Diceros bicornis minor: one gene and its partners. The protein of the gene in region 1 interacts with the protein of each later gene in a pairwise test. Links are inferred from orthologs where the notes say so. Each region holds a gene or a part of one and is shown in the gene's direction. Other genes may lie near its edges. The genes, in order: NDEL1, YWHAE, zinc finger protein 772-like and TRIM27.

Evidence for each region.
Region 2: the proteins of NDEL1 (region 1) and YWHAE interact in a two-hybrid assay, tested with the Homo sapiens proteins (2 studies listed by BioGRID). The link is inferred for Diceros bicornis minor from reciprocal best matches to the Homo sapiens genes NDEL1 and YWHAE.
Region 3: the proteins of NDEL1 (region 1) and zinc finger protein 772-like interact in a two-hybrid assay, tested with the Homo sapiens proteins (2 studies listed by BioGRID and IntAct). The link is inferred for Diceros bicornis minor from reciprocal best matches to the Homo sapiens genes NDEL1 and ZNF17.
Region 4: the proteins of NDEL1 (region 1) and TRIM27 interact in binary tests that used the Homo sapiens proteins (3 or more experiments, as listed by UniProt). The two-hybrid records come from large-scale screens. The link is inferred for Diceros bicornis minor from reciprocal best matches to the Homo sapiens genes NDEL1 and TRIM27.

What each region holds. Positions count from the first base shown.
Region 1 is NC_080757.1:10,012,784-10,020,427, reverse strand, and holds the start of NDEL1 (nuclear distribution protein nudE-like 1), read left to right. Parts: upstream 1-4,487; 5' UTR 4,488-4,650; intron 4,651-7,644. UniProt on the Homo sapiens protein: Required for organization of the cellular microtubule array and microtubule anchoring at the centrosome. May regulate microtubule organization at least in part by targeting the microtubule severing protein KATNA1 to the centrosome.
Region 2 is NC_080757.1:16,308,072-16,315,300, forward strand, and holds the start of YWHAE (14-3-3 protein epsilon), read left to right. Parts: upstream 1-4,051; 5' UTR 4,052-4,142; coding exon 4,143-4,206; intron 4,207-7,229. UniProt on the Homo sapiens protein: Adapter protein implicated in the regulation of a large spectrum of both general and specialized signaling pathways. Binds to a large number of partners, usually by recognition of a phosphoserine or phosphothreonine motif.
Region 3 is NC_080781.1:29,855,399-29,862,128, reverse strand, and holds zinc finger protein 772-like, read left to right. Parts: upstream 1-4,440; coding exon 4,441-6,018; downstream 6,019-6,730. UniProt on the Homo sapiens protein: May be involved in transcriptional regulation.
Region 4 is NC_080753.1:37,907,807-37,915,767, forward strand, and holds the start of TRIM27 (zinc finger protein RFP), read left to right. Parts: upstream 1-4,754; 5' UTR 4,755-4,989; coding exon 4,990-5,409; intron 5,410-6,660; coding exon 6,661-6,756; intron 6,757-7,961. UniProt on the Homo sapiens protein: E3 ubiquitin-protein ligase that mediates ubiquitination of various substrates and thereby plays a role in diffent processes including proliferation, innate immunity, apoptosis, immune response or autophagy.

The sequences.
Region 1 (7,644 bases):
GGCCCCGTGGCATAGCGGTTAAGTGCGTGTGCTCCACTGCTGGCGGCGCGGGTTCGGATCCCAGGGGCGCACCGATGCCCCGCTTGTCAAGGCATGCTGTGGCGGCGTCCCATATAAAGTGGAGGAAGATGGGCACAGATGTTGGCCCAGGGCCAGTCTTCCTCAGCAAAAAGAGGAGGATTGGCATGGATGTTAGCTCAGGGCTGATCTTCCTCACAAAAAAAAAAAAAAAAGAAGAAAGGGCCTTGTCAATTTTACGGAGAAGAATCCCATGAACATGAAGCCCTATTTTCACTCAGGGAGCAGCCCCTGCCACACCTCATCCTCTTACCCTGGTTATGTTTCTTTATAGCACTTGTCATGACCTAACAGAAATAAATTTGTCTACTTGCTTATAGTCTGTCTTCCCCATTAGAATATAAACTCCATGGGGGTGGGGTTAGAGGGTGGAGGAGGGGTATGCTTTATTATAGTTACATGGTTGAATCCCCAAGGCCTACAACAGAGCAAACACTAAACTCATAGCTGATGAATGACGTTCCTCTCTCTATAAAACCACTTCTCACCTCAAGGTCCAAGTGTGTAATTTTTTAAATGAAAAAAACTATTATTATTATTACTATTTTTTATTACAAAAGGAAAAGATGTTGCTTTGGGGATTGTAGGTGCTATAGACTGGGTTTAAGATTTGGGCTAGAGAAAAGTCATAATTGCCTAGGACCCCAATCCTGGTTCCTTTGTAACTTGGTATCACCTAAGTTCAGCCTTTCATACCAGGGAAAATCTTGTCTCTATATGGTAATTTTTCTCAGAATTTGGGGCATTTTCCAGAAAGTGCTGTCAATCTTGCATTTGGAGTTCTAGCCACCAAACCATTGATTCATTCTTTCACTTTCATTGAAGCATATTAAACAAATGTTTGCTAAGTGCCTGTTGCTGGGGGATATTAGGACAATCAACACTGTCCCTGCTCTCAGCGGGCTTTGGTTCCTTGGGGAAGCTCAGACACCTCCATGACCAAAAGGCTGTGTTCAGTAAGTCTCCTGTGAACTATGCGGGGGCTCTACTTGAGCTCACAGGAAGGAGCACTCACGTTAGGTATCAGGGAAAGCTTCCTGGAGGAGGTAGTATATGAGTGAGACTTCAAAAGGCAGAGGGGCAGGCTGGCCAGGGAGCCTAGGAGCAGCTGTAGTGCACAGGGCAGTGGGAGTCAATAAAAGGCCCAGAGAGGAAGGGAGCTGTCCATTTGGGGGACAAGTGGAGGGTCTGGTCAGACACAGATAGGTGAAGTGGGTTGGAGTTGCTTTGGAGGGCCTGGAATGCCTGACTTTGTAGTTTGTACTTTATCAAAAGGAAACAGGATGCCAAAACAAGTTCTGGAGCCAGTGATGCTCTGTACACAGTGAGATTTTAGCAAGATTATTCTGATGACTGTGTGGATTACTATGCTGAAAGTAGAAGAAATTCGAGGGAGAGAAGTTTGGGAAGGGAGGGACAGACAAGTAGGAGGCTTTGGACTGGGAAGATTTAGGGGGAAAATACTGGTAAATGGATTTATTTGACAGAGTTATGAAGGGCAAGTCTTTCAGGTTTGGTGGCCATGTGAGTGAAATGAAAGCTGGGAAGGGGATAATTAAGGGTGATTTGACAAGACCTTCGTGCCTTAGGGGCCAGGGGAGTGATTACACCATTGGCAGAAACATGAAAATCATTTTGGAAATTTCAACTGGGGCAAAAGGAGAATCTGTTTGGGGTTTAGACATGAAGAGCTGGAGGTGGTGGTGGGACATCTGGTGGACATATACAGCAGGCCATTAGTAACCAGCCTGATCTATGCCCCTAAAGTTTAGCAGAAAATACTGGCCAAAAAATACGGAGAGATTGGGCTGAATCAAACCTTTGATTTTCAGGTGTCTGCTCACCTGATTCAGTGGAGAGTTACACATGCCCCATCTCCTCAGAGTTTTCATGACAGGCTTGGGTGCACGGCGTCACCTTTTGTGAGTGTGGTGGGCTGGAGTCCAGCATCCTCATTAGCTAGAGTTTGCATTGGTGTCAGCTGGTCAACCCACACCTCCCCCAGTGGTGGAACCTGGCCTCTGTTTCCTGAGTCTCAGAGTTTGTGGCAGGGAGGATGTTGGGATGCTTGTGCGTGCTCTCAGGGACTGTGACATTGACCCCTTGCGCTCAATCCAAGAAAGATCCTGTACTGGGACCTAGGCCTCAGCAAACCCCTTCTTAATGGTTTATGAAGGGAGAGGCTGGGGCAACCCTCACCCACCTTTTCCACCTTCACAAAGCTGATTTTGTAACTCTTGTTCCCCTTAGAGGCTGTCTTTAGTCTTCACTTCCACTTTATTTTCCCTGGATGGGCATCCTGGAAGCAGGGAATGGGGCAAAGGTGGCTGTTACTTGGGAGAAAGCTCAACCAACACAGAGGAAGGAGATCAATTATAGGGCTTTGATACCTCTGAGGGCCCTGCCAAGCAAAGCCCATTCATTAGGATGGGGCCGACATACCAGTCCCGACAAACACCAGTTCTGGGTCCAGGCTGGGTGGGAGGGGTGGTGGCCTGGAAGATGACGTCAACATTTTCTGCAGGGCCTGGCCTGCCATTAGGTGACTCAGTGTATTTCCCAGGACTTCAGCCAGGAGGCAGGGACCAGGGTTGCAGCCTTTATTTATTTTTCCCTCTTGAGGCGGGACTGTTCTGTCTTGGCACTAGGTTCACAAGAAAGCCTTCCTGCCTCATCATCTCTCTGCCTGTGATCTCATCGGCCAGGGCACAGCTTCGGCCAGGGAAGCAGAGCCCCAGAGCCTAAAAGAGCTTCCATGATGTCCCAGGTCATTGGGCTTGGAATATGACCTGCTTAGGTTTAAACCCCACGTCCTCTGGGCCTCAGTTTTCCAATATATAAAATGGAGGTAATAATTTCAGCCTCATAAGCTGCTTGTGAGCTTGAGGGAGGTAATGTATGTAAAGCACTTAGCACAGTGCTCCAGCCCAATAAATGGTAGTTATTATTAATAGTCCCCTTTCTTGAGTGGCAGTATAGCAGTGGTCAATAGTGTGGTTTCTGGAGTTAGACAATCCAGATTAGGAGGGTTTGAATCTTGAGTCCTCTTTTTTCTTGTTGAGTGACCTTAGGCAACTTCATCTTGCTGAGTTTCAGCTTCCTCATTAGTCAAATGGGAATAACAACAGTACCTATCTCACAGGGTCGTTGTGAGGATTAAATTCTGCAAACCAAGCGTTTAGCACAATTGCCAGTACACACAGATGAAACAAAAGTGAACTATTCTTATTATTATTATCATGATCTTTTCAACCCTATATTATTCAGAGTCCAGCTCAAGGTGCCACCCTTCCCACAAACCCCATTAATCACGTCTCTGATCTTCATTGATTTGGACACCTCTTACAACCCATTTACATTGTTCCTATTTACGTCCATTTCCTCAAAAATCTAACTGGACCTCCCAGGCTCACCTTGCTCTCACCTTGAGGCCTTACAAGTCATTACTGTGTCCCCAAAACCCACAAATCCAATCCCCAAAAACACTGACCTCAGAGAGAATTACATTGTGCATTACACAGCAGAAGTTCCTAAAATTGTTTTTAAAACAGCTCTATTCCTTCATGTTTCCACTTCCTAAGCAGTTGCCCACCCTCATTTCTCCCCTTTCTGAGCTACTCCCCCCTCAGCCCTCTTCCCTCTCAAGTTCCCTGGACTATAAAATGAATTCCTAGTCCTATAAAATGGATTCCATTCTTTAGGAGTCCCAGGGAGATGAAAACACACACACACACACACACACTTAAATAAATAAATATAAGCTTAGCTACATAAAATATATAAATGGATATTTATATTCTCTTGGTGCCCTCAACGAATCCTTTCATTCATTCAACAAATATTTGAGTTCTCATTTTGTGTCCAGAACCAAGCAAGCTATCTGTTGGACAAGAAAGGCAAAGGAGGTTCTAGCTCTCATGGAACTTACATTCTGCTGGAGGAAGACAAAAACAAGTATAAAATTTCCAGCTAGTCTAAGTGCCGTAAAACGGTCTTTCTGAGAGAGAGGGATGAAGGGCACTAGAACACCCCTGGTATTTCGTAGGGTGGTTGAGGTTAGACTCGAGGTGAAATCTGAGCCGACATTCATTTTATAAACGGGAACACTGAAACAGACACCTGAAAGACCTTGGTGGCTGAAAAACCGGGAGGCAGAGTCTCATCCAGCGTGGTGCCATTGTCCGGAACAGCAGAGAGTTTTTGGGAACCTCGAAAACCGAACGCCCCCACTTCTCGAGGTCCGGGGGCGCCTGCGCAGAGGCGGCCGCCAGCCTGACGTCAGCGCGCCGGGCCGACCCGGCCCCCTGTGACGCCATCCTCGCCACAGCCCCGCCCTGGCCGCCCGCGCGCTCGCGCGCATGCTCGGAACCCCGCCCCCGTGCGTCACAGAATGGCCTCGGACACCCAGGCAGCCCTTGACGTGTCGGGGAGGAGCTGGGCGCGGAGGTGCGCGGAGTGGAGCTCGGGGCTGCCGAAGGGAGCGGAGCTGAGCGGCTGGGCGGGCCTGGCCAGGCCAGCGGAGCGGAGACGTCGGTCGAACGGCGGCGAACATGCGCTTTTGACACATTGGAGGTGAGCCTGCAGTGCGGGGCCGCTCCCGAGGGACCGGGCCGGGCCGGTGGCGCCGAGGCCTGTCCCCGGGAGCCTGCCGGGCCCGGGGGCTGTGTCTGAGGCCCCGCCGGGCTGGGCCGGGCCGGGGCAAGGTTCTGGGCGGCCAGTCCGGGGGCAACTGTTCCAACCGCTCTAACTGCCCCCTCCACGCCCCGGTCCCAGGGGTGGCCCACCACCTGGAAGGGGGCGAGCCGGTCCGCCTCCGGAGGATGTGCCGCGTCCGGGGGTGGAGTGAGGGACGACCGGGACGGAGGCCGGGACGTGGCACCGTGGGCCGGGGCTCTGGTGGCGCAAGGAGTGGCTCAGTTGGAGGTGGCAGCGGCGCGCCCAGCCCTCCGCCTCCTCCCCCCAGCCCTTCAGCCGGGAGGGTGGTTTGGAGCCAGGTTGGATTTTGAGCTCTCGTCGCTTCTCTGCTGTGGCGGGCGAGAGCGGAAGCAGCCCACGTTGGGCTCCGACGGCATTCCCGTGACTCCCCGCCCCGAACTGCTAGTCGTCCGTTTTGGAGTTCAGAAAAGTGTCACCAGACGGGTTCGGGTTGCTTGTGCTCTCCTCTTTTTTTGCTGGTAAGCAACCAAGTAACCCTTTAAGTTTTGTCAAGAAAGCGAGAGTTCTTTACTGATTATTACCTTCCGTTTCTGTAGCGCCTTCACACATTTCAGAACATTCTTGCTATCTCTTTTGAACCTCATCATCCTGTGGTTGTGCCTGATTCTGTTATCGCCATTTGACGGATGGGGAAGTTGAGCCCGGCTGGGGTGGGGAGTATTAAGTGATTTATACTGTGGATTCTGCCAACTGGTGAGTGGATTCGCTTGGATCAGAATTTACGTCTCTGGGCTCAAAGTTATGGTTTCTCTTTGTGGGATTTTTATACTCGTCTCAGCTAGAAAGCAAAACAGAAAATCTGACTTGCCAAAAATATACCAGAAGCCTAGTAGAAGATTTATTCAAATATTTTTGATCGGACTTACTTAGGATAAGAATTGCTACTCAGTTAAAAGAAAAATCCTACTCTGAAACTTGTTCACGGGTTGCTGGCTAATTATTTTGTCTGATATATTGTGTTGCTCTTAATCCACTTATGAAATAGGGTCATGGCTTAGCTAAATCATGAAGTTGGTGGGATAAAATGCAGCATTAAGTCTTGGGTTGAAGAGAAGTAAAGGAGAACTGAGTCCAGATCTCTCTTGTGGATTTTTATCAAAATTATTATTTAAAATTAGAGGTCATAAAGAACAAAGAAAACCTTTGGATAGCCCTGGTTAGAGGTTGACGTAGCCCAGATAGAAATTGCTAAATCTTAAGAAACTGTTCTTTTTTAGTTCTGTTTTGACTTTTTAAATTAAATAAGTTGAAGTTGGATAAGGAACACTTAAGATAAGTAGAAACCTCAGTAAAAACGTACATCTTGCTTTCATGACATCTGTAAAACTTATTTTTCTTCTCATTTTAAACCATGTGGAGATATATTTGGTTACTAAAGCTTAAAATTACTTCTGACATAAGTTACTGAGCACTTCATAAGGTAGAAAAAGAAGTTTGACAGTCAGGACAAAAAGGGAGACCATATTTATGATGGGCTTTGAAAAGTTAAAAATTCTGTAAATATCACCTTTGGGAGAAGTAGAAGAATTTTGGTAAAAAGGTATGTATTACCTACAGTGAGTTCCAAGAGAACTCTTTTAATCTCATTAGTCCATTCTACAACTATTAACAAGAAGCAATATCATATAAAATGGATTTTCTTACCATTGCACAAAGAGTAGTTTCTTTGTAAATACAGCATTTTGGACAGGCTGTTTTATACCCAAATAAGTGGATTTGTCAGTTGCTAGATAACTGGCAGTCCTATACAGTATGATAATAGCCCATGTAAAAGTCAGCACACTTTTGAGATGCACACTCCATCCATATGAGACGTGGTATGGAGGGAAGATTTGGGTAGCAGGGGAGAGTACCTAATTATCTGCCTTCATTTCAGCTTCAGAAGATTGTAGATGTATCATTAAAGCATTTTTTTTAGCAGTATGGTTTTCTGTATTGGCTAACTTTCTATAGCCTTAATATCTCCAGTTACATAGTTTCAGATAACACAGTGAACACATCCTCCCACTGTAACTTGAAGCAAACTGAACAGACTGTCTTTACAGCCCATGAAAAGGTCTTTTGGATATCTGCAGTGGTAGAAAATTTGTAAAAAATCTGATTTTTGGAAAGGATAAGTCTGATGAATAAAATTAGAATGATAAAGCTTGATAATACCAATTAGGAAGCAGTAAAAATGAGGTGTGACCACAAAGAAAGAACTTTTTGTTTAGTTTTTAATCGGGCTCTTCAAGACTACACCAAAAGAAATTTTAGAAATGTTTTCAGTAATGGTGCTATCACTGGAATATGCATATAGCTTCCAGAAGTGATTAATTTTAAGGATTCATTTATATATTATAAATTCTGAAGCACATTTATTTTGTGGTAATACTTCAAAGGTCCATGACTGAACTACCAGTTTTTTATCATTTAATGAAATTTATGCTGTCTTTACTATATGCCAGGCTCTGTACTAAGTACTTTACAAATATTAACTCACTTAATCTTCGTAACAACCCTATTTTAATTATTAGCTCCATTTTACTGATGAGGAAATGGGGCACTGAGTGGTTGAGTAACTTGCCCAAGGTCACCCAACTAGTGAGTAGAGGAGTCTGATTCAAACCTAGGCAGTTTGGCTCCAGGGTCTGGGCTCTCAACCACTGTGCCATGCTGCTCCTACCACTTGTTCCCTGGTTAAATATTTTTAATTGCTTTGTTCTGGAAAAGATGATGGTCATTTTAGTAATAGGTTTCTGACAGATTATAATATTGTTTGAAGGGCCAATGAGCAAGTTGTAGAAGTAGCCTGTAAATTAGAAAAATTGCAGTCAGCATTCAGTTCACATAAGATTCATCAAGAAAATA
Region 2 (7,229 bases), about 6.3 Mb from region 1:
CTGCACATCCTTCTAGTTGCTGTATGTGGGACGCGGCCTCAGCATGGCCGGACAAGCGGTGCGTCGGTGCGCGCCCGGGATCCGAACCCTGGGCCGCCAGCAGCAGAGCGCATGCACTTAACCGCTAAGCCAGGGGGCCAGCCCTATAAAGGATATTATAAAGAATGCAAATGAACAGTCAGATGAAGAAACACACAGAGTGAGCTTCTGTCCCTGTATGGTTTGGGATGTGCCACTCTCCTGGCATGGATGTGTTCACCAACCTGGAAGCCCTCTGAGCCCCGTTAAGTTTTTTACAGAGGTTCTTTTACCTAGGTATGATTAAGTCATTGGCCATTGGTGACTGACTCAATCTCCAGCCTCTCTCTCATCCCTGGAGGTCAGAAGTTGGGTGAGTGGGGTTGAAATTTCTAATCCTCTAATCACCTTTGATTCCTCTGGCAACCAGCCCCCATCCTGATGCTATCTAGGGGAACACCAAGAGTCACCTCATTAGCATAAACTCAGGTATGACTGAAAGATGCTTATTGTAAATAACAAACAAAACTCCTCACCCCTATCACTTGGGGAAATTACAAGAGTTTTAGGAGTTCTATTCCAGGAACCAAGGACAAAGACCAAATATGTTATTTCTTATTATTTCAGGATGTCACAGTGTTTTTCTAGGAATTTGTCCATTTCATTTGTTATCCAATTTATTGGCGTACCAGTGTTAAAAATACTCCCTTACAATCCATATTTCTCTTTCTTTCTTTTTTTTTTTGGTGAGGAAGATCAGACCTGAGCTAATGTCCATCGCCAATCCTCCTCTTTTTGCTAAGGAAGACTAGCCCTGAGCTAACCATCTTACTCTATTTTGTATATGGGATGCTGCCACAGCATGACTTGACAAGCATTGAGTAGGTCCGTGCCCGGGATCTGAACCTGTGAACTCTGGGACGCTGAAGTGGAGCGTGCAAACTTAACCACTATGCCACCAGGCTGGCCCTTAATCCATATTTCTGTAAGGTCGGTAGTAATGTCCCCACTTTCTTTTTTTTTTAGGAAGATTGGCCCTATGCTAACATCTGTTGCCAATCATCCTCTTTTTCCTTTTTTCTCCCCAAAGCCACAATACATAGTTGTGTATCATAGTTATAGAGTTGTAGCTCTTCTATATGGGACGCCACCTCAGCATAGCTTGATGAGTGGTGAGTAGGTCCGTGCCCAGGATCTGAACCGGCAAACCCCAGGCCACCAAAGCAGAAGGTGTGAACTTAACCGCTACCCCACCAGGCTGGCCCCAGCCCACTTTCATTTCTGATTTCAGTAATTTGACTCTTCTTTTTTTCTTAGTCAATCTTCTTTTTTTCTTAGTCAGTCTTCTTTTTTTCTTAGTCAATGTATCTAAAGGTTTTTCAATTTTGTTAATCTTTTTAAAAAACCAAATTTTGGTTTGTTGATTTTTTTTCTATGTTATTTATCTTCACTTTAATCTTTATTATTTCTTTCTGCTAGCTTTGGGTTTACTTTGTTCTGTTTGTAGTTCCTAAGGTGTACAGTTAGGTTACTAACTTGAGATCTTTCTTTCTTTTTTTTTTTTTGTGAGGAAGATCTGCCCTGAGGTAACATCTGCCAATCCTCCTCTTTTTGCTGAGGAAGACTGGCCCTGGGCTAACATCCATGCCCATCTTCCTCCACTTTATATGGGATGCTGCCACAGCATGGCTTGCCAAGCGGTGCGTCGGTGCGCACCCGGGATCTGAACCAGTGAACCCTGGGCCGCCGCAGCAGAGCATGCGCACTTAACTGCTTGCACCACCGGGTCAGCCCCGAGATCTTTCTTTTTTAATGTAAGCATTTACCACTATAAATTTCCTTCTTAGTACCATTTTTGCCACATCTCATAAGTTTTGGTATATTGTGTTTTTGTTTTTATTCATCTCAAGGTATTTTCTCACTTCCCTTGTGATTTCTTCTTTGACCCATCAGTTATTTAAGAATGTTATTTCATTTCCACATATATGTTAATTGTCCAGTTTTCCTTCTGTTATTGATTTTTAGCTTCATTCCATTGTGGTAGGACAAGATACTTCATATGATTTCAACTTTTAATATTTAAGACTTGTTTTATGGCGTAACATATGGTCTTCAGTTCCTTAACTTTACAGATGAACATGAAGCTCAGAGGTGAAATGACTTGCTGAAGGTCACACATTTATTTAGTTATAGAATTAGGACTAGAACCCAAGTTTTTGATTTTCAGTCTTTTACCATTGAAATTTAATATTTGTTACAAGTGTGAAGGGGCTTAGTTTGGAATGCAGTAAGGAGCCATCCAGTCTCCTCTGCTGGCTCTTCTGCTTTCACCTATCTCTTAAAAGTAGGTATTTTCCAAGGTTTTGTGTATGGTCCTCTTCTACCTCTACACACTCTCCAGCTGCTTCCACGGCAGCCTCCCTTCAGTTTGGAATGCCAGTCCACCTTTCCATTTCCACGCTGGTTATTTCTACCTGTGAGATCTTTGAGAACCTTAGAACCAACATGTGCTAAAAGGAACTCGTGTTTTCCTCTGCATTCCATCACCAAACTTTCCTAGTATTCCTACTTTTTGTTAATGGTATTGCCATTCAGTATCCCAGTGATTCAAGGTGGGAAGATGGAAAGTCAATTTTAATTTTTTGTCCCCTCACAAGATCTCTACATCTGATCAGCTACAAACTCTTCTGGCTTCCGTCTGCAGTACTTACTATTCCTGTTTGTCCTTTCCTTCCTATTTTCACTGCTACCGTCTATTACCTTTTGCCTGCATTATTGTAGTATAGCCTGAGAATTTATCCTCCTCTTTAATCACTGCTCTGTACAACATATTAGTTTTCTAAAGTATAACTATGATGGTGTCATCCTCCATGCAAAATCATCAAAAAATAGCTTGTGCCCACTGAATAAGGTGCAAACTTCTTAGCTTGCCATCCAAGGCTCTTCATAATTAGGTTCCAACCTACTTTTTATTCTACATTTACTGCAGACCCCACCACACAGCTTATGTTCTAGTTACCTGAGCTTCAGTCTTGCAACAGATATGGTATTGAGTACAAGGTGCTAGGAATCCATTGGGAAGCAAAACAGCTTCTTTCCTGTGTGAAGCAATTTCCCTTCCTGTCTCCTCAATCTTAATTTGATCTTCGTCTCACTCTTCTGCACCTTGCACTCCAGACCAGACTCCTTTTTTTTTTTTTTTTAAAGATTTTATTTATTCATTTTTTTCCCCCCAAAGCCCCAGGAGATAGTTGTATGTCATAGCTGCACATCCTTCTAGTTGCTGTACGTGGGACTCGGCCTCAGGTTGGACGGAGAAGTGGTGCCTTGGGGCGTGCCTGGGATCCGAACCTGGGCCGCCAGCATCAGAGCGCATGCACTTAACCGCTAAGCCACGGAGCCAGCCCCAGACCAGGCTCCTTGAACAACTTCCCTGTTCCTATCCATGGTGGGCCTAAGGGGAAAAAGAAAGCTAAAGGGCAGGAAAAAAAAAAGATGGCGAAGTGCGAGGGTGAAGTTGAGGTGTGAAAACTGGAGCCCCCTTCTCCCACCAACCATAGCAGGTCCCAACTCTTTACCTGGGGTCAAAAGGGTCTAAACAGGCCCAGGATGGGGCTTGGCTGAGAAAACAGGGCAAAGTAGGAGAGAGAGCAAGGTGGTTTCAGTGAGGAAGGCCTGCCATTACAAAAACAGTTACAGCCTCCGGCTTTCTCTGCCCCCAGTCAGGCGTCCGCCCTCGCTCAGGGCCCAGGCTCTCTCGCTCACTCTCTTCAGGAGCTGTCCAAGCCAGCCTCGCCTCTGGCGTCCCTCGCTCCCTCGGGGCTGCTCTCCCTCTCCGCAATCGCAGTTCCCGCCTCAGCCCTCTGGCGCCCGCTGAGCCCACGGAGGAGGGGCGTCTTGCTGGTTCCAGTCTCTTAGGGCGCCGAGCTCCCGGACCCGCCCCCCGCGCCAGTTGCCAGGGAGCGGTTGCCATAGAGCTGAGCAGTTGTCCGCGTGCGCAGGCGGAAGTCCCGGATTGAGGCGCCGCCATTTTTGCTGCCCGGACGCGGAGCGAGAGGCTGAGAGAGTCGGAGACGCTATCCGCTTCCATCCGTCGCGCAGACCCTGCCGGAGCCGCTGCCGCTATGGATGATCGGGAGGATCTGGTGTACCAGGCGAAGCTGGCCGAGCAGGCTGAGCGATACGACGGTGAGTTGGGGGGGCAACGGGGGGCTGGAATTCTCGGACCCTCTGCCGCCGCCCACAGAGGCCAGGAGCAGGAGACAAAATGGCGGCGTCGTCTCCGAGCCTGGCCCGGGGATGTGGATTCGGGAAGCAGGAAATGGCCTGTGGGCTCCCGGAGCGGTGGGAGGCTCCAGGCCCAGGAATGTGACCCCTTCGGCGTCCTCAGCTGCAGACACTCTCGAGCCAGGAGGCCGAGGCCATAGGGTGGAGGAGTTGGTTGTAAAATGGCGGCTTGGGGGAGGGCGAGTCCCGGGGCGGGGGAGGGGGAGGAGATGGCGGGTGCTGTCTCCGGGCGAGCAGTCCTCAGGGGAGCTTCTGGGCTAGTCTTGGGATGTGGAAAACAATTGGGTGGGGAGATGGAAGAAGAAACACTCGCCACATGGGGGAGAGTGGCGACCGGGAGCTGTAGCGCGGGCGCCTTTCAGGGAAATATGGCGGGTGGGGGCGGTGGCTTTTCTCTGGAGGCCCAATGTGGGGCGGCGGCTGTGGAGTCTCACAAAGGAGAACCTTTGCGAGCAGAGGGGTTCCTTGGGCTTGTGGTGGGGGGCAGTCTTGGAGGAGGGTGGGGTAAGGGGAGAGTGGGAATCACTGCACTTCATCCTTGGGCGGAGGCCAGCTGAGATGCTGCGATCGGATTTCTTTCCCGTAGGCCGGCACACCTTGGAGTGAGGGGCTTTTAGGCTTTACGTTCAACCTCGCCGTCTTTTGGCGGAGGTCTGGAAGGACCTCACTCACGCTCCCTTTCTTCGGACTCATCCCGGAGAGCTCGAAGGTCCTGTAATCATTTTCTGGCTCCATAAGCTGTGGATTCTGGTGGATAGAACGCTGAACAGGAAACAAGGAGACCATGACTTCTGGTCCCTTTCCCATGCTTGTGCCTCAGTCTGCCAGTTTGTAAAAATGATGACTTTCCTGTTTACACGCACCGTTATGACAATGGAAAGACCTGTTGAAAAATAAAGTTATTTCAGATAACGTTGAGTAACTGTATTTTGGTTGTCACCCGTCTGGGAGTGCCCGTTCATTGGGGATCTTAACCAATCCCACGCCCTCAGTTGAGGCTTGGGTTTTTGGATTATGAACGTAGGGGATCCCAGCAGATCCTATTTTCTTTTTTCCATTTTAAATAAGAGATTTGAGGTACAGATTTGAACAGTTTTTCTTTGCTCCTTTGCCCCAGAGGTTCTTTAGTCATTTTTGAGAACTTTATCTCAATGTGTGTAGTGTCTGTTTAGTCAGTCCCAGGCTGCTTTGTTTAATTGCTCCTCCCCCCATTTTGGACCTAGGTACTTGAATTACTTCCACATCCTTTAAACTGTAGTATTATAAAAACAAGAAATCATGTATGTGCTTCTGTGGTTTTAATGCTGTTGTAGGGTGAGACATAGTTGGAATCAAATGCTATAGATCTTTAGACTTCTTTTAATTACCTAAGCTTCTTTTTAAAAATGTTATGTAGGGCTTTTTCCTTGATGCCAGTTTGGTCATATGAATAGCCTCAGGGCTGGTCTCTGTATCATCATACATTAGGATTCAGGAATTTGAAAATTAAGAGAAAAGACCTCGAACTGAAACCTAGGAAAGGTACTGTACTAAATTTCATTTTGTAAATCCTTAAATTACTCTTTGTATTGAACAAGGTTCCTGTGGGCAGGGGGAGGGGAATAAGATGGGGAAGTACAGCTCAAGGTCAGATTTGTCTTTATTTCAGTGTTTAGAAGTCAAACAAATGCTCATAATGGAAGTTTTTTTTCTTCTTCCCCATCATGCCCCAAATAGGTTCACCTCTTAATCTATCAGTGCCCTTGGGAGGAAACATGAAATTATATTTGAGTGCTTTCTGTTTTGTAGAATTTTAGCCTTTTAGTAAACTTGCTGTGATAACCAAAAAGGGCGTAGAGGAAGGTTTTTTTTTTTTTTTTAAACTTGTTTTAAAAACCGACTTGGAAGCTCATGATTGTAGCTCCCAAATAGGTGACAGTTTAGTGATAATCATATTTTGGTGTTGAGTGCTGAGGCTTTTTGACCAAAGCCTTCATTATTTAACATAGGACTCTTTAGATAAAGCCATTTCGTTACGTTGTGTAAACGTTAGGTGTCTCCTTAAGGATCTGCCAGGTGGGAAGGAACTCCAGTGACTGTTGGGCATGAGATAGGGATTCACTGGAAAGGAAGAAGAGGAAGACACTCCTCAGGAATCAGCCACTGCCTGTGTCAACTCCTTTATTGGGTGCAATAATTCATTTTTGTTTGTGCCAAGTGATCCCATAGTTTTAGTCACCAAACAATTTATCAGGTGTGGGGAATGGAAGAAGGTGAGAGTGCATTTGAATGATTTGGTTTTGTATAAATGCTGGCTTTTCTCTTTGTTCCTGCAGTACCTTTATCTTTTGTTTTGCATGGTATGTTGAACCTTATTTGTATTGTTTAACTCTATTCTGGGGAATTGGAATCAATTTATGTGGATTATTTAATGGTACTGGAGGAAGAGTTAAGCTCTGTTCAGGAAAAGGACAGTTTGAGGTGGTGGATGGGATATATTGAAGTTTGAGGCTAGGAGTTCACCCTTAACAAGTCAGTAGATTAAGGAATAGTTTTTGTATCATCCGTAGCCATATTAAGGAAGTCCCATCACCTTTAAGCAGTCCTGAACTAAGTCTTAACCTTCCCATATATCTGAATCACATTAATACAGAAAAGTTGGGAATATAGCAGGAAAAAAGATGAGTACTTTTCACATTTTTTGAGAGTAGAGGGGTAGCATAAACTCTATTTGGGTTTGTGGAGTAGTTGCTCGTTTTGTCCTTTCCTCCCCTTTCTTCTCTTTGTGATGATTGGCCCCATGTGAGATGTAGGGATAAAGTTTTGATGGTCACATTTGATTCACTGTGTGTGTGAATGCATCTGTTCTGAGTCACTTGAGAGCTATCCTTTTAAAACACCAGAACTCTTTTCTAGCTTATTCTTGGTAGTCAGTGAAGGGTTTG
Region 3 (6,730 bases), on another chromosome or scaffold:
TAAAACAGCAATTTCTTTAGCTCTATCCAAAGTGAAAACATGTGGAAAAATTACTGCTCTTATTTGGCTGTAAATTACATTAATTCCAATCGGCTGGAAAAGCAATAAGCCACCTTAAAATTACATATCTTAGCTATATTAACTATAAATCTGATAGTTTCAAAATGATGTCAGAAAACTTTTCAGAGAGTCCTTGATAAAGTTATTTACCAATTACTAAAAATACTGGCAGAAGGTATGCTTTATTCTATCTCCTAAGCACTTTCCACCCCTCTGCTCTAAAGCAGGATGGTGGTTGTCTTAGCACTGTCAAAACAAGGCAGAGTATAGACATTATATGATCCTAATAATACCATAAAATAGTCTGAGTAACTTTTTTGAATAATAATATTTTCAAATCTTTATGTAATTGTACTCAGTACAAAATATGAGATTCTTTTTCCTACAAGGTCAATTAAATATGCAATTAAAAATTACTCCCGCATGTCTTCCTCCTGTGGCTGTCAGTGCAAATTCTCTAGGGTCATCATCTCTCCCCCGATTTGTGCATCGTACAAAATCATTCATGTGAACTGTATTCCAAATGGCTTTAAAATATTAAAAGTTCAATTTCACAATTTCTTCTGCTCAGTGATCAGTGTGGTGAATCTCCTTCATTTTGATAAAGGTCATAAAGTTTTTTTATTCTTCAAAGTGCCTGATTTTGTGGGTTGTGGCAGGAGGAAGGAGTGAAGGAGAGACAGCAGATCATGAAAAAGAAACAGTGCAATCAGCACCAGGAAAGTGACAGAATTATATTTAAGAAGAAACAAACAAATTTCCTCTCATTCTAGATATTTCTTTCAACCCTTTGACTATAACTTATTCACTCAGATGACCATTGTGAGTGAGTCAGCTGAAATGGAAAGAGGGGGACATTAAAATAATTAAATTTTGTCTTTATAATTTCAAACAACTAGATTCAGAGGAATAGGAATAATTGTTATTCAGAGTCAATATATTTAGGAGAAGTTATGACCAGTAGAAAAAATTTAATAGCTTCCCCCCTACTTTTCCACTTTCCCTAAGTGAAAAAATAATCGCTAATTTGGGGGAGACTAGTGATAGAGGAAGTGTGAGGAGTGGGAAAAGTCTGTGAGGGATTGGAAATTAGGAAACAAGGACGCAACCTGAAATGAACAATAGACAGGTACAGAGACTAGTAGAGACCAGCAACCTAAGGGGTGATTTAGTTATCTTACTATTGTTAAATGGTGAAGATTTAAAACAAACTCAATGTTGGATAAGTCACCCCTAAGTAAAACCTTCCATTCTAAGTTTAGTTAGGCAAAATTTAGTAGAACTATAAGGAGTAAGCAAAAGTGGAAAAAAGTCACACATGTATCTCATAAACCATCAATTCAAAGAACTGGGTAAAGGATGCAAATAACCCAACAGCAGCCTTAAGCTAATACAACTATTATATGTGTACCCAAATGAGGGAATAGAGTTTATTTTCAAGCACTTGCAGAAATGTACACAAATGTGAATAACAGCAAAAATAAAGTTTCAAGTTTCCCCAAAACTACCATACAAGAGTCACAAACAAAATACAGTAAAATAATAATAGAAAAATCAATGACAAAAAGGTAATGCACACAGCACACTAACCTAAATATTTGAAAAATTAAACGCACAAGTTTGAATAATTTGCAGGTAAAAGTGGAATTCAAAACAGAAAATACAACATTTTTGTTAAAAAAAAAAAAACCATAATGAACAACACTGCATTTCAAACCGGAGTGTTTCATCTAACGCAACAACAAAAGGGAGATGTTGGATAAGTTAACCTCAACTGCATTTACTAGAACATTAGAAGGCCCGAAAGTAAATGAATTAAGATTTCACTGCAAGAAGGTAGGAAAAGAACAAGAAAATAAAACACTCTAAATAGAAGAAAATAATTAGTCAACAAAATGACAAAAAAATAAATAAAACCATAGATTCAATCAATAGATAGATAAATTTTTTTACAAGAATAATAAGACAAAACTTTGTCTAGTGTGATTTTATTTTTAAAGAGAAAGAAGGTTTAAATAAACATCAGTTATGAAAAATGGGTAACTATTAAGTAATCTATTACTTATGATTAAATACCATATGATTCAGCAATTCCACTTCTGGGTATATATCCAAAAGAAAGAAAATCAGTATCTCAAAGAGATTTCTGCACTCCCATGTTCATTGCAACACTATTCACAATAGTCAAGATATAGAAACAACCTAAATGTCCATCAGTGGATGAATGGATAAAGAAAATATGGTGTACGTATTTATACAATGGAATATTATTCAGTCACAAAAAAAGAAGGAAATCCTGCCATTTGTGACAATAGGGATGAACCTGGAGGATCTTAGGCTAAATGAAATAAGCCAGACACAGAAAGACAAATACTGTACATACTCACTCATATGTAGAATCTAAAAAAAAAAAGTCAAACTCATAGAAACAGACAGTAGAATGGTAGTTGCCAGTGGCTAGATGGTCTAGACACTGGTGGGGGAAATAGGAAGATGTTCGTTAAAGCATCAAACTTTCAGTTATGAGATGAATGAGTTCTTGGGATCTATTGTACAACATAGTGACCATACTTGATAATACTGTGTTGTATACTTGAAATTTGCTAAGGGTGTAGATCTTAAGCATTCTCACCATGCACACACAAAAAAGATAACTATATAAGGTGATGGATGTGTTAAGTAATTTGATTGTGGTAATCATTTCACAATACATACATACATCAAATCTTCACATTGTATACTTTAAACATATACAATTTTATTTGCCAATTATACCTCAATAAAGCTGGAAAAAAGATTAAATAAAGGTAAAATAATATAATACAATGATCAACATTCTAGGAATAAATATGAAAATCTAGATAATAGGAAAAAAAATTCTAGGGAAATATAAACCACCAAAGCAGCCCAGTGAGAAGAAAATCATAAAATCAAAGAAAGGGTAATCAAATTTCTTCAACCACAAAGATATTAGACCTATTAAACATTCTTTCTAAAAAGCTAATTTCAATTGTATAAAACGGTTCCAATACAGACAATAGAAAATAGATAATTCCTCATTTTCTGAGTTTAGCAATGACTGTGGCCCCCAAGACAGAAAAGTACAAGAAAGTAAAAAGTATATTAATCATAAACACAGAAGCAAAAATTCTAAATAGAGTATCAGTAAATCACAATCAACACTTCACTATAATAATGACATCATGACCAAGGGTTTAATCTCAAGATTGCAAGGATGGCACAATTTAAGAAAATTTACCAACAAAGTTAATTCACTAAAATAATATATCTAAATAATAAAATATATATAATCAACTGAACATATGTCAATGTACCACTGAATGATATCCAGCAATCATTCATGATAAAACAAAATCTTGGCAAAGAATTTTCATAAATGTACTCATCAGATTACTACAGCAAATATATGTACAGTATAAGATGGGAAGTCTAGAATAATTTACTTTAAGTTCAGAGATTAAAAAGTCACCTCTTATCACCACTACTAATCAACACTGTCCTAAAGGTTCTATCCTCTGAACTAAGACGAGACAAAAAAATAAGTGGAGAATGTATGTAAAAGTTAAAAGGTATGAAATAAAATATTATTTGCAGAGGATATTATCATCTATATAGCCAAGATAATCAACCAACAAACAATTAGAACTAAAGAGAGAATTTAACAGTACCTAAGTACAAGATCAACACAGAAAAAAAAAATTAATAGCTACACTATATAGCAACAACGAGACGCGTAAAAAAAACCGATTCATATTATCAACACTTATTATTAAGTGCAGGTCGGATTGAAAACAGGACTATGAAATTTGGAATGGAAACATTTGGATGGACTTGAATGAAGCTCAGAACTACGAACTTTAAAATTACCTCAAGTCATCTTTGCCAGCCGAATCCTCCTTTCCTCTCTCCAATCTAAGGAAGCCAGACATTCCAGGGTTAAAAAATAAAATCTTTATAAGGCAGCGTCGGGGCGGGACTTCCGGTCTCCGGCGCATTGGAACGAGCTCTTTTGTTCCTGCGGGTCCCAGAAACGTGGACGGGAGCGCCGGGCGGAGGTTGCTTCCCTGCCGGCTCTTCTGCACCGAGCAGAGTTTGCTTCCCTGAGGGCTCTTCTGCACCCAACAGAGGACAGTTTCCAGGTTGGGACCTACCTTCATGCTTTGTAGGAGCTGTGATGCCCCAGTTCTTACTTCCTATCGGTGAGACTCGGTGCGCGTGACTGTGGTGCAGACAACCTTGCTGTGGTGCAGACAACCTTGCTGTGGTGCAGACAACCTTGCTGTGGTGCAGACGACCTTGTGCCTCGTGTTTGCTGGCGCTCGCTGGGCCGCCCCCTCTCGGGGGCTTGGTACCTTGGTGATGGCAGAGGCAGCAGCACAGATGGACTCGGTGCAGAGGTTTGTGCGTTTCAGTGACGTGCTCGTGTACTTCTCCGAAGAGGAGTGGGAGCTACTTGATGAGGCTCAGAAAAGCCTATACTGTAGTGTGATACTGGACAACTTTGGACTGGTGATCTCAGTGAAACTTGAAAGTTCCAGATACTCTGAGATTACCCAACCCATGCCAGAGAGAGAGCTCAGGGTTCCTGACAAGGAAGACACAGCTCTAGCCGAGGCAGAGATGATCCGGTCGAGCCCTAAAACTGGCTGTTGGCATAGAGTGGAAGATGAAGATGCATCTTCTGAGCAGGGTGTTTCTGTAGGAGTGTCACAGGTGAGAACTCTCGAGGTGGGTCCTTCGATCCAAAAGAGCCACCCATGTGAAATGTGTGACCCGATCTTGAAATACATTTTGAGTCTGGCTGGGCATCAGGGAACATCCCCTGGGCAGCCATCATATCCATGTAAGTCATGTGGGACAGCCTTCTGGTTCAGTGTAAACCTTGACCAAATCCAGAAGCAGCAGAGTGGAGAGATATTCCCTAGAATGGAAAATGTCCAGCCCTCGTCTGTGAAGAGCTCTGAGAGCCAAATGTCAGAGAAGGTGTTCACTTTCAGGGAGGGTGGGGAGGACTTCTTGGCCAGCTCTGGACTTGCCCAGCACCATACCACTTATGATAGGAAGAAGCCATACGGGAGTGCTGAGTGTGAGGAGGCCTTTCACACTGGACAAAGGGATTACAAGTGCAGTATATGTGGGGAAGCTTTCAGCCACAAAGATGAGTTTGTTCAGCACCAGAAAATCCACATGGGAGAAACATTTTATGAATGCAGCGAATGTAGGAAATTATTTAGCCATAGAACCTACCTTATATTACACAAGAAAGCTCACCTCAAAACAACACCCTATAAGTGCAGTGATTGTGGGAAAAAGTTTTGCCACAAAGTCAACCTCAAAGTACACCAGAGATGCCATACAGTATCAAGGCCTTATAAGTGTGCTGAATGTGGGAAATCCTTTATCAAAAGATACCAGCTTGTTCAACACCAGAGAATTCACAGTGGAGTAAAACCCTACAGGTGCACTGAATGTGGGAAAGTCTTCACCCGAAAAGACACGTGTACTCAACACTGGAAAATTCACAGTGGAGAAAGGCCTCATGTGTGCAGCATATGTGGGAAAGCCTTTCTCCGTAAAACTGCATGTGGTAAGCACGAGAAAATCCACACTGGAGAAAAGCCCTATAATTGTGATGAATGTGGGAAATTCTTTGGCCGCAGTTCCTGCCTTTCAAGACATAAGAAGATTCACAGTAGAACAGAGCCTTATGCATGCAATGAATGTGAGAAAACCTTCAACACTAATTTCAACCTTACTCGACACAAGAAAGTTCACACCAGAGCTCTTGGGCTTGTGGGTAAAGTGAATGTGGAAAATTGTTTGGTGGCAACTTCAGCCTCATTATACACCAGAGATGTAACACCGGAGCAAGGTCTTATGTGTTCAGCAAATGTGGGAGAGCCTACAGAAGACCCTCTCACCTTGCTTGGCCCGTGAAAGTTCACACCAGAGAAAGGCCTTGTGAGTGTAGTGGTTTTGGTGATCCTTTAGCTGCATTTTTAAGTTCATTTAGCACCACAACCTTCACACTGGAGAGGCCTTAAGAGAGCAGGGAACGTGCTTTCTCCTTGCTCAACATTGCATGACTCATAAAAGAGAAAAAGTGTGAAAGTAGCCTTTGAGATGGAGCCCACAAGCAAAAGTTAAACTTCATACATCCAGGTATCTACACTGGGGAGATAACAGCAAGTGCCAGGTATGTGGGAAGTTTTCAAGAGCTACTTTACATTCTTTAACCTTCCCAGGACCTTTCCTTGGCCTGAGTTATGTCAATACCAGTGTCTGTTGTGGAAACCATTCCACTTCTACCAGCAGTCAGGGCCCCACACTGTGTGTCAGTCACCCCAGTGTGCTCAGGTATGGCCGACCTCTACTCTCTCTCCTCCTTCATGGAGGGAATCATGAGTGATCTGAACCCACTGGGGATCCTCATTCCCTCCCTGCCGATGGTTTCAGTGTGGACTTGGCCCAGCTCCTGCTGAAAAGATCTGAGCTGGAATCTGCTGCAGTTTTTCAGAGGTTTCTGTCTTCCATGGACAGTACTGACTCTGTGTGAGATAGCTGAGATGGATTTCTCCAGCCTCTGAATCATCCAACTTTGGAACTGCCTGCCAGACACTGATCTGATTTGTGCAGTGAAAAAGCCTTA
Region 4 (7,961 bases), on another chromosome or scaffold:
TAAAGGCAGATAAAAGAAATAGAGGAATCAGAAATACCATAGGCCTCATCAGGTCCTACTCAGTTTGGTGCCCGGAAGAAAAAACAGTCCAAGGAGGGAGGGGTCAACAGTGTCAAATGCCTAAGAAACATTAAGATGAAGACTGAAAAGTGTCCTCTGGATTTAGCCAATACTATTAGAAATCATTGGTACCCTTAGGACAGACAGGTTGAGTGGAAGGGGTAGGTAGGAATTTATTTTTAAATAAAATATTTTGTTAATAAAAACTGTATTTTATCAGTTAGGTTTAATTTCTATTTCATATGCAGACAATCCAATAAGTAGCTTAAACAAGACAGTGGCTTTAGTTTCTCTCACATATATGAAGTTTGGACACAGTCACTCTGCCGTGAGTAAGAACCCAGTCTTCTTTACCTTTCACTACACCATCTTAGTGCTGGCTTCCATCTTTAAGTTTGCCTCATGGTCCAGGACAGCTGCTCGAACTCCTACCAACATGTGCACATTCCAGGCTGGAAAAAGTATGAAGTGGGAAGGTTAAAAGGTGCACTTCCCAACTGAGTAGGCTTCCTTTAAGAGGCTTTCTCACAATTCCCACCCCAAAACTTCCACATAGATATCATTGGCCACCCACAATCTCAGGACCATGTTGAAGTAGGAAAGAAGTGCTGGGCTCTGCACAGAGTGGCAGTTAGGACCAGGGACAAGATATACATCAGCACAAGACTGTTGTGACAGTGCATCATAGAACTTTCAGTGTGATGGTACAATCCACACTGTGGGGCCCAACTGCTGCTTTCAGAGTAAATGTTTCATTTTAAATACTGAATCTCAGATCCACATATTATTATTCTCTGTCTTTGAATACAGGACATATAACTGGAAATGACCTGCTCCCTCACCCCCCAAAACAGTCAACAGTGAGAATTTCAGGTTGAAAAGGAACAAAGGGAATATATTGAGAAAATGTGACTACAATCTGTCTAAGTGTGGATCTCTGAGTGTATTCTACTTGGACTTCACTGAGCTTCTTGGATGTGAAGATTTTTTATCATCAAATTTGATAAGTTTTCAGCTATTATTTCTTCACATATTCTTTCTGCTCTCCTTTTTTGCTCTCATCTCCCCTGGAACTCCCATTATGTCAATGAATTTTTGTATACGTAGACACACATGTAACCATAGCTCAGATCAAGATATAAATTATCCATGGTCCCCAGAAGGTTCCCATGTGCTCCTTCCTTTTTTTAATTCACCCCATCCCCATTCTGAGGGTAACTTCTATCACTATGGATTATTTTTTGTCTGTTCTTGAATTTTGTATAACTGAAATCATACAGAATGAACTCCTTTATGTCTAGCTTCTTTAGCTCAACACAACATCTATGAGATTCATCCCTCTTGTTACATGTAGCAACAGTACATTTGTTTTTATTGCTGTGTATCATTCTGTTGTATTAACATGGCACTATTTATACAGTTTACTATTGATGGATATTTGAGTTGTTTCCAATTTTATCTTTTGTGAGTAAAGTTGCTATAAACATTCTTGTACACACACACAAATAAATAGAAATGCTGGGTGAGTTGAGGGTGTTCCTGGTTACATCCATAACCAGCTGGACAAGGTTTCATATTGTAGCTTTGCCTTCATGAATTTACCACAGTATTAGCAGCAAAGCGGCCTGGGAAGTATCTTTTAGCTGGTCATATTGCTATCTAGAATAAAATTCTAAGGAAGGAGTGGAGATTGGGTATAAAATAGTCAACAACAGTCCCTTCCATGTTGCATTAAGATTGAAACGTTCTTATTAAAATAAATAGCTGTACCAGAAATCTTGAACTGGAGGTCAGGAAGCCAATTTCATCTTGCAAAGATGATTTTACAATTTTTAGTTAGTTTCCAACACTTAAAAATCAATAAATTTCACATAAAACTCCAGATTTGTGCCTTCTCTCTTTTCTTGTGTGTGCTCATGATGGCTTCATTTTTTATTTATTTTTTTATTGCAATAATGTTGGTTTACAACATTACATTAATATCAGATGTATATCATTATATTTCAACTTCTGTATAGACTACATTGTGTTCACTATCAAAAGTCTAGTTGCCATCTGTCACTGTATATGCTGTCCCTTGAAAATCTAAAACTTTGGCAATATCCTGGGCCCACATTCTCAGGGGTCCTCTTCAGCTAGAGATGAAAAGTAGCTGCCTCTCAGGAAGGACGTCTGTCCTCCAATTAGTCACTGTTGTCATCTTTCCATATTGTGTCCCTGGTCTGGCCTGCTCATAAGTTACCTTCTTGTCTCTAACAGGCATTGGTGTTTGCACCCCTGTCATTTTACAAAGGAATAAATAACAACTGTTATAAAGATAAAACGTATGCATAAAATGTGACAGTGGAATCATCAAATTATTAGTCTAATAATTCAACAAGCATTTAAGCACTTTCAATATGATTAGAGCTATGTGCAAGGTGTAATGGAGAGCATAGAAGGTCTGGAGAGGAGCCTCTGTCCTCATGGAGTTACCTCTGACCTCAGTTTCCCTATTTCTAAGGTATGTTGGACTATGTGAGTGCACAAATCACTTTCTATTCTAAAAGCATGCCCTGATTTGAAACCTTGACAGACAGGTCAAGGGTTCCACACAAGGCAAAGCCAAAGAAAGTCTTAAGAAAATAACCAACTACCAGAATTCGAGGATCTGCGTGAGCTCGGGAGGCTGATTGGAAAGGAGAGAGATCCATGTGGCCAGCTTGATTAGGTTAAGCTCTAAAGAAGGGGTAGGATTCATGAGGAAGCCTTGAAGAGGACTGTGGTGAGCACAGTCTGAGCCAGAGGCTGGGCTAGCAGCACTGTTAAGAGGACAGTGAAGATGTCAGCCAGAAGTGCTCAGACTGGACTCCATCCTCAAGAGTTTGGACAATGTTCTGGAGGCAAAAAGGAAGCTTTGAAGATTTCTGAGTAATGGGGGGGATCAGAATTGGCCACCCCAAAATGTGTTTCTTTGGCATGAGGATTATTTTGGGCTGGTTACTTTTAAAAACTGCAGACATGGGAGAAGCTCTGAAAAGTAGAATTTACCCTTTTTAAGAAACATCTATATTTGTAAGTGAAATTTCCATCTGTAACGGTATCTCCCTCTCTGTACCAGGAAAAAGGGGGAATGACTTTATCTCTAGGAACTCTTAGCAATGCAGAACGCAAAGACTTAAATCTGCATAATAACCTTACTCTTGTTTACTGTGCTTTTCTGGTAACCTCCCTCAGCTGACTCCCCCCACCCCCAACATCCTCCTTTGTCTTTAGCTGAAGATGGTATTTAAGATGAGAGCCTCTGCCATTTTGGCGAGTTAGCCAGTTTTTCCTGGGTCTCTCCATGTATACATGTTATAAAGTTTTGTTTGATTTTCTCCTATTATTCTGTCTCATGTCAATTTAATTCGTACCCCAGCCAGAAGGACCCAGAGGGTAGAGGAAATCTCTTTCTCCCCTACAGTAAGAAGTGACAGAATGAAAGAAGCATTTTGAGAAAAGTTTTAAGGATGATTCTCTCCTTTGAGGTGTAATATAAGTAGGTTAGAGGAAAAGACTAGAAATAGGGAAACTAGCAGAACTGGTTGTATTCATCCAGTTACTAACTCATTTAAAAAACATTCTCAAAATGACATTGTCGAAAGAATTTAAATCAAAGTGTAGTAATGAAAATTAAAATGAACAGAGGCAAGTTGAGAGATAAAGCAAAGCAAAGCTGTCCAATTAAATCTAGAGGACGGACAATACTGAAAAAATAGCAAAGGAAACTAGGAAATAGCAAGCTACGGATGAGGGTGCAACGCAAAAGATTTGTAAATCTACTGGATAATGAAAAGAGCCTGAGTCACCGTGGGATTACCAATCTCCCTACACTTTGGGAAGGAAAAAGTACGTTTAGGTCCTATTTGATACAATAACTCTATGCAGTGGGTATTTTATTACTTAAAGGATAATTTCCTTATGGCTAAAAAGTAAAAGATGTAATCAAGTTTCCCTCTTTGCTGGGGTATAATTATTCCCATTTCACCAGAGAAGAAACTGAGGCTCAGAATGGAAAACCAATTTGCTTAGGCACAGTAGGAAGTAGCAGAACTGGGCTTGTCTCACTCACTTTCTGTCCTACAGAAATGTTGCCGTCTGATAATGAAGCCTTTCTCCTTTGAAACAAAATTGCGAGCGCCTGTAAACGGAGTTAATGAAGCGCCTCACAGACCGGATGGGGCTCAGTCGGCTACCCCCGACTGGGGAGGACAGATGTCTCTTCCCATACCAACACAAAGCCACATTTCTCTCGCCTAGCTGAGGCCTAGGCACCAGATAGGAAAGCCAACAAAAGACTATGGGCCCAGGGCCGCGGAAACGGCGGTGGGCCCGGAGCGTGCAGGCAGGGGCTACCCTGTCACCGCTGCGCCCCGTGTGCACCGCCTGCCTGTGACAGCTGTCCCGGGGATCGTGCTCCCGAGCGTTCTCGGCGGCGCTCCCGGAGGAAACAATCCAGGCCCAGGGGCCAAGAAACCGTAAGGCGCGCGGGAGGCCCGGACCAAACCCCGCCCCCCGAGCCGCCCCTTCCGCTCGCGCCGGGGTGGGGTCTGAGCGGCCGCCGGGATCCGCTCGGACGCGGCCACGTTGTCTTGCGCGCTGCGAGCGCCTGGCTCCGCGAGTCAGACCGGCGGCGCCTCCTTCGCGTAGCCGCTGGGCTCGGCGGGGCCGCAGCATCCCCAAGTCATTCAGCCGGGCGCCGCGACGCAGGGAGCGGCCCGGCCCCTCCGCGGGTCTAGCGCGCGGGCGCGTCTGGGATCCGGGCCCGGGAGGCGCCGCCCTCCGTCACCCCGGCTCGCCTCCCCGCGCCGCCCGGAAACAGCGGACGGGAGGGAGCGCAGTCGAGTTGGGCTCCGCGCGGAGCTGGGCGCCGGGGCCCAAGCCCGTGCGCCCCCGCGGGCCCGCGCCATGGCCTCCGGGAGCGTGGCCGAGTGCTTACAGCAGGAGACCACCTGCCCCGTGTGCCTGCAGTACTTTGCCGAGCCCATGATGCTCGACTGCGGCCACAACATCTGTTGCGCTTGCCTCGCCCGCTGCTGGGGCGCGGCGGAGACCAACGTGTCGTGCCCGCAGTGCCGGGAGACTTTCCCGCAGCGGCACATGCGGCCCAACCGGCACCTGGCCAACGTGACCCAGCTGGTGAAGCAGTTGCGCACCGAGCGGCCGTCGGGGCCCGGAGGCGAGATGGGCGTGTGCGAGAAACACCGCGAGCCCCTGAAACTGTACTGCGAGGAGGACCAGATGCCCATCTGCGTGGTGTGCGACCGCTCCCGCGAGCACCGCGGCCACAGCGTGCTGCCGCTGGAGGAGGCGGTGGAGGGCTTCAAGGTGAGGGCCGGGCGCGCGGAGCCGGGAGGGGCAGGAGCGCGAGTCGGACAAAGGGAAGAGCGAGCCAAAGGGGCTTCCTTTTTTCCGCCTAGAAAATGGCTGAGCCGGACGTGTGGTTCACAGCCGTCATTTCCTCTCTGTCCGCTCCAGAGCCTCGGCACTCAGATTTGGGAGGAAAACCTGTAGCTGGTGAGGAAGCCAGAAGTCTCCCCACCCCCAGTCTCCTTATGTGCCCCTGTGTTTACCGGGCATATATGCATAAAGACGGCCCCTGGAGACCCCCCTTGACTGTATAAAAGATGTGAGTAAAACCACGTACGCATCGACAAGCTTCAGAGACGCTCGTACTCCTGTTTGCTTCTAGATGATGTCAGACAAAACACACTCGGACGTTAACTGGCTGTATACACTTCAAGCAGATGCTCATCATCTAGTCTATAAGCATTTCCTTAGCGCTTCCCTGTGCTCCGTCCTGTTCTAGAAGCTCACGGAACAGAACAGAGCTCTTTCCTGCTTAAGTCATTTAACCACTCTGAAACTCATAGGAAATAAAACAGTTATTATGAAGATTAAGTGAAATAAAACGATGTGTGGAGCCCTTTGTGAACTGTTGAACCGACAGACTGGCACAGCTGAACAATAATGTGGAAACAAAGTATTAAATATGAAACAGTTGTAAGGCAACATTCAAGGAGTGCATAATGCTGTGTTATTGTCTGTGTATTTGAGGGCTGAAGGAATATGTACACAATTATGTATATGTTTAAATGTGAGTACATTCTTGCATAATTAATCACGTAAGATTAACAGTGCTTTCAAATATATTGTTTTACTCACACTGGTGATAACCCTTGAGTAGTTGGGAAGGTGATGTTTGTGCATGTCACATATGAGGAAAATAAGAGAAGTTAAATCATTTTCTCAATATGCCTCTGTGGCAGAGCTACAACTTAACATTAGTCATTAACTAGTTCTTTAACATTAACTTAACATTAACTAGTTCAGTCATCTTTCCACTAAGCCATTCAGTATCCTTTCAAGGATAAGTAGGTGACCCAGCATTTAAGATACACACAAATTACCAAAGGAGAGGTGTGGTGACCCATGTGCTCTGGTGATAGCAGTGTGGTCCAAGGACAAGATCTAACCAGGTACTTGGCATGTGAGTTGCATATGTGATAAGCAGAATAGCCATGCTGATGCAAAGGGCTGCCTAATCTTGAACTGCCCAACTGTTTTTGCTTTTCTCAGGAGCAAATCCATAACCAGCTGGACCACCTAAAAAGAGTAAAAGACTTAAAGAAGAGGCGTCGGGCACAGGGGGAGCAGGCACGAGCTGAACTCTTGGTAAGGGTCGTTGGAATTCACAGATAATATCGGTTTTGCTGGTCACTCCCTGTTTTTGAGGCTGTTACTTTCTTTAACCTTGTCCAGCCAGGTCACCTAGAACTTCTGGGTGCAGGTGGAACAACTCCATATGGCAGTTGCGAACTCACCTGGAGAACCAAAGGATTCCTACATTTTTGGGGAAAGGATGGAAGATCCAAGGTTGGAACCCCTGGAGATCTGACCTATCAAAAGTTTAACCTGCTAGCTTTGTACAGATCAGGGTTGATCCTTGACAAAGCTGATACAGGTGAAATTCTTGGGTACAGTTAGCCTCCTTTGGTACCATTCTGCAGACAGTTGCTGACAGTGGCTTTGCATAAGCCACTCTTGCTTCTTGCTGGAGTGTTCGCTTTCTTGACAACACTTCAATTCTGAACTTTTCACTTTGTTCCCTTCCTCTAGTTTCCTAAGGCCTTAGCAAGTAGCTGATACACTAATTTGTGATCAGGATATTTGGGGATTTTGTTTTGAAAAACCAACAAAACCCAAAAAGGACAGAGGCTTTTATAATATAATACTCATATATCCACCACCTAGGTGTTTAAGCATTATTTTTTGGACAAAAAATATTACAAATTCCTACCTGTTAGAGGTATTTGCATCTGAAAAGCAAACTCTTAGACTAGTAGTGTCTGGAATCATCTTGTGAGAAATTTTGTCATTCGTGGCCAGAGTAAAGAACTTTGGGACAGGGAACTTATTCTCATGATGCCCTCACATCCCACCACTTGTTCTGCCCACACGATCCGCTGTGGCCTCAGATCCCCTTGCTTGAAAATAGGTCTGATGGATGGAGAATCTTCCCAGTGAGCCTGACTCGAATCATTATGCACAGCTGTGTCTTCTGTGGGAGGATTGGCAAAGAGGGGACACAGCCCTTTTCTGAGAATCAGGGCACCTGGACATACTTCTTGGCTCTGACACTAGCCAATTGGATAGATGGAGAGAGTAATACAGCCTCTCTGGGCTTCAGTTTCCTCATGTGTGAAATGGATAGGTTGGACTAAACTTGTGATTCTTTAGCAAGGCTAGTACTGCCCTCTCCTCCTCCCCTTCAGTGATGCGTGGGTGTTTCTTTGGTTGTCACCTGAGGAATCAAGTGATCTGGGAGGGTGGAGCAAGGATGCAAAATGTCCTGCAATGCAAGAAACAGTCCCATGCCA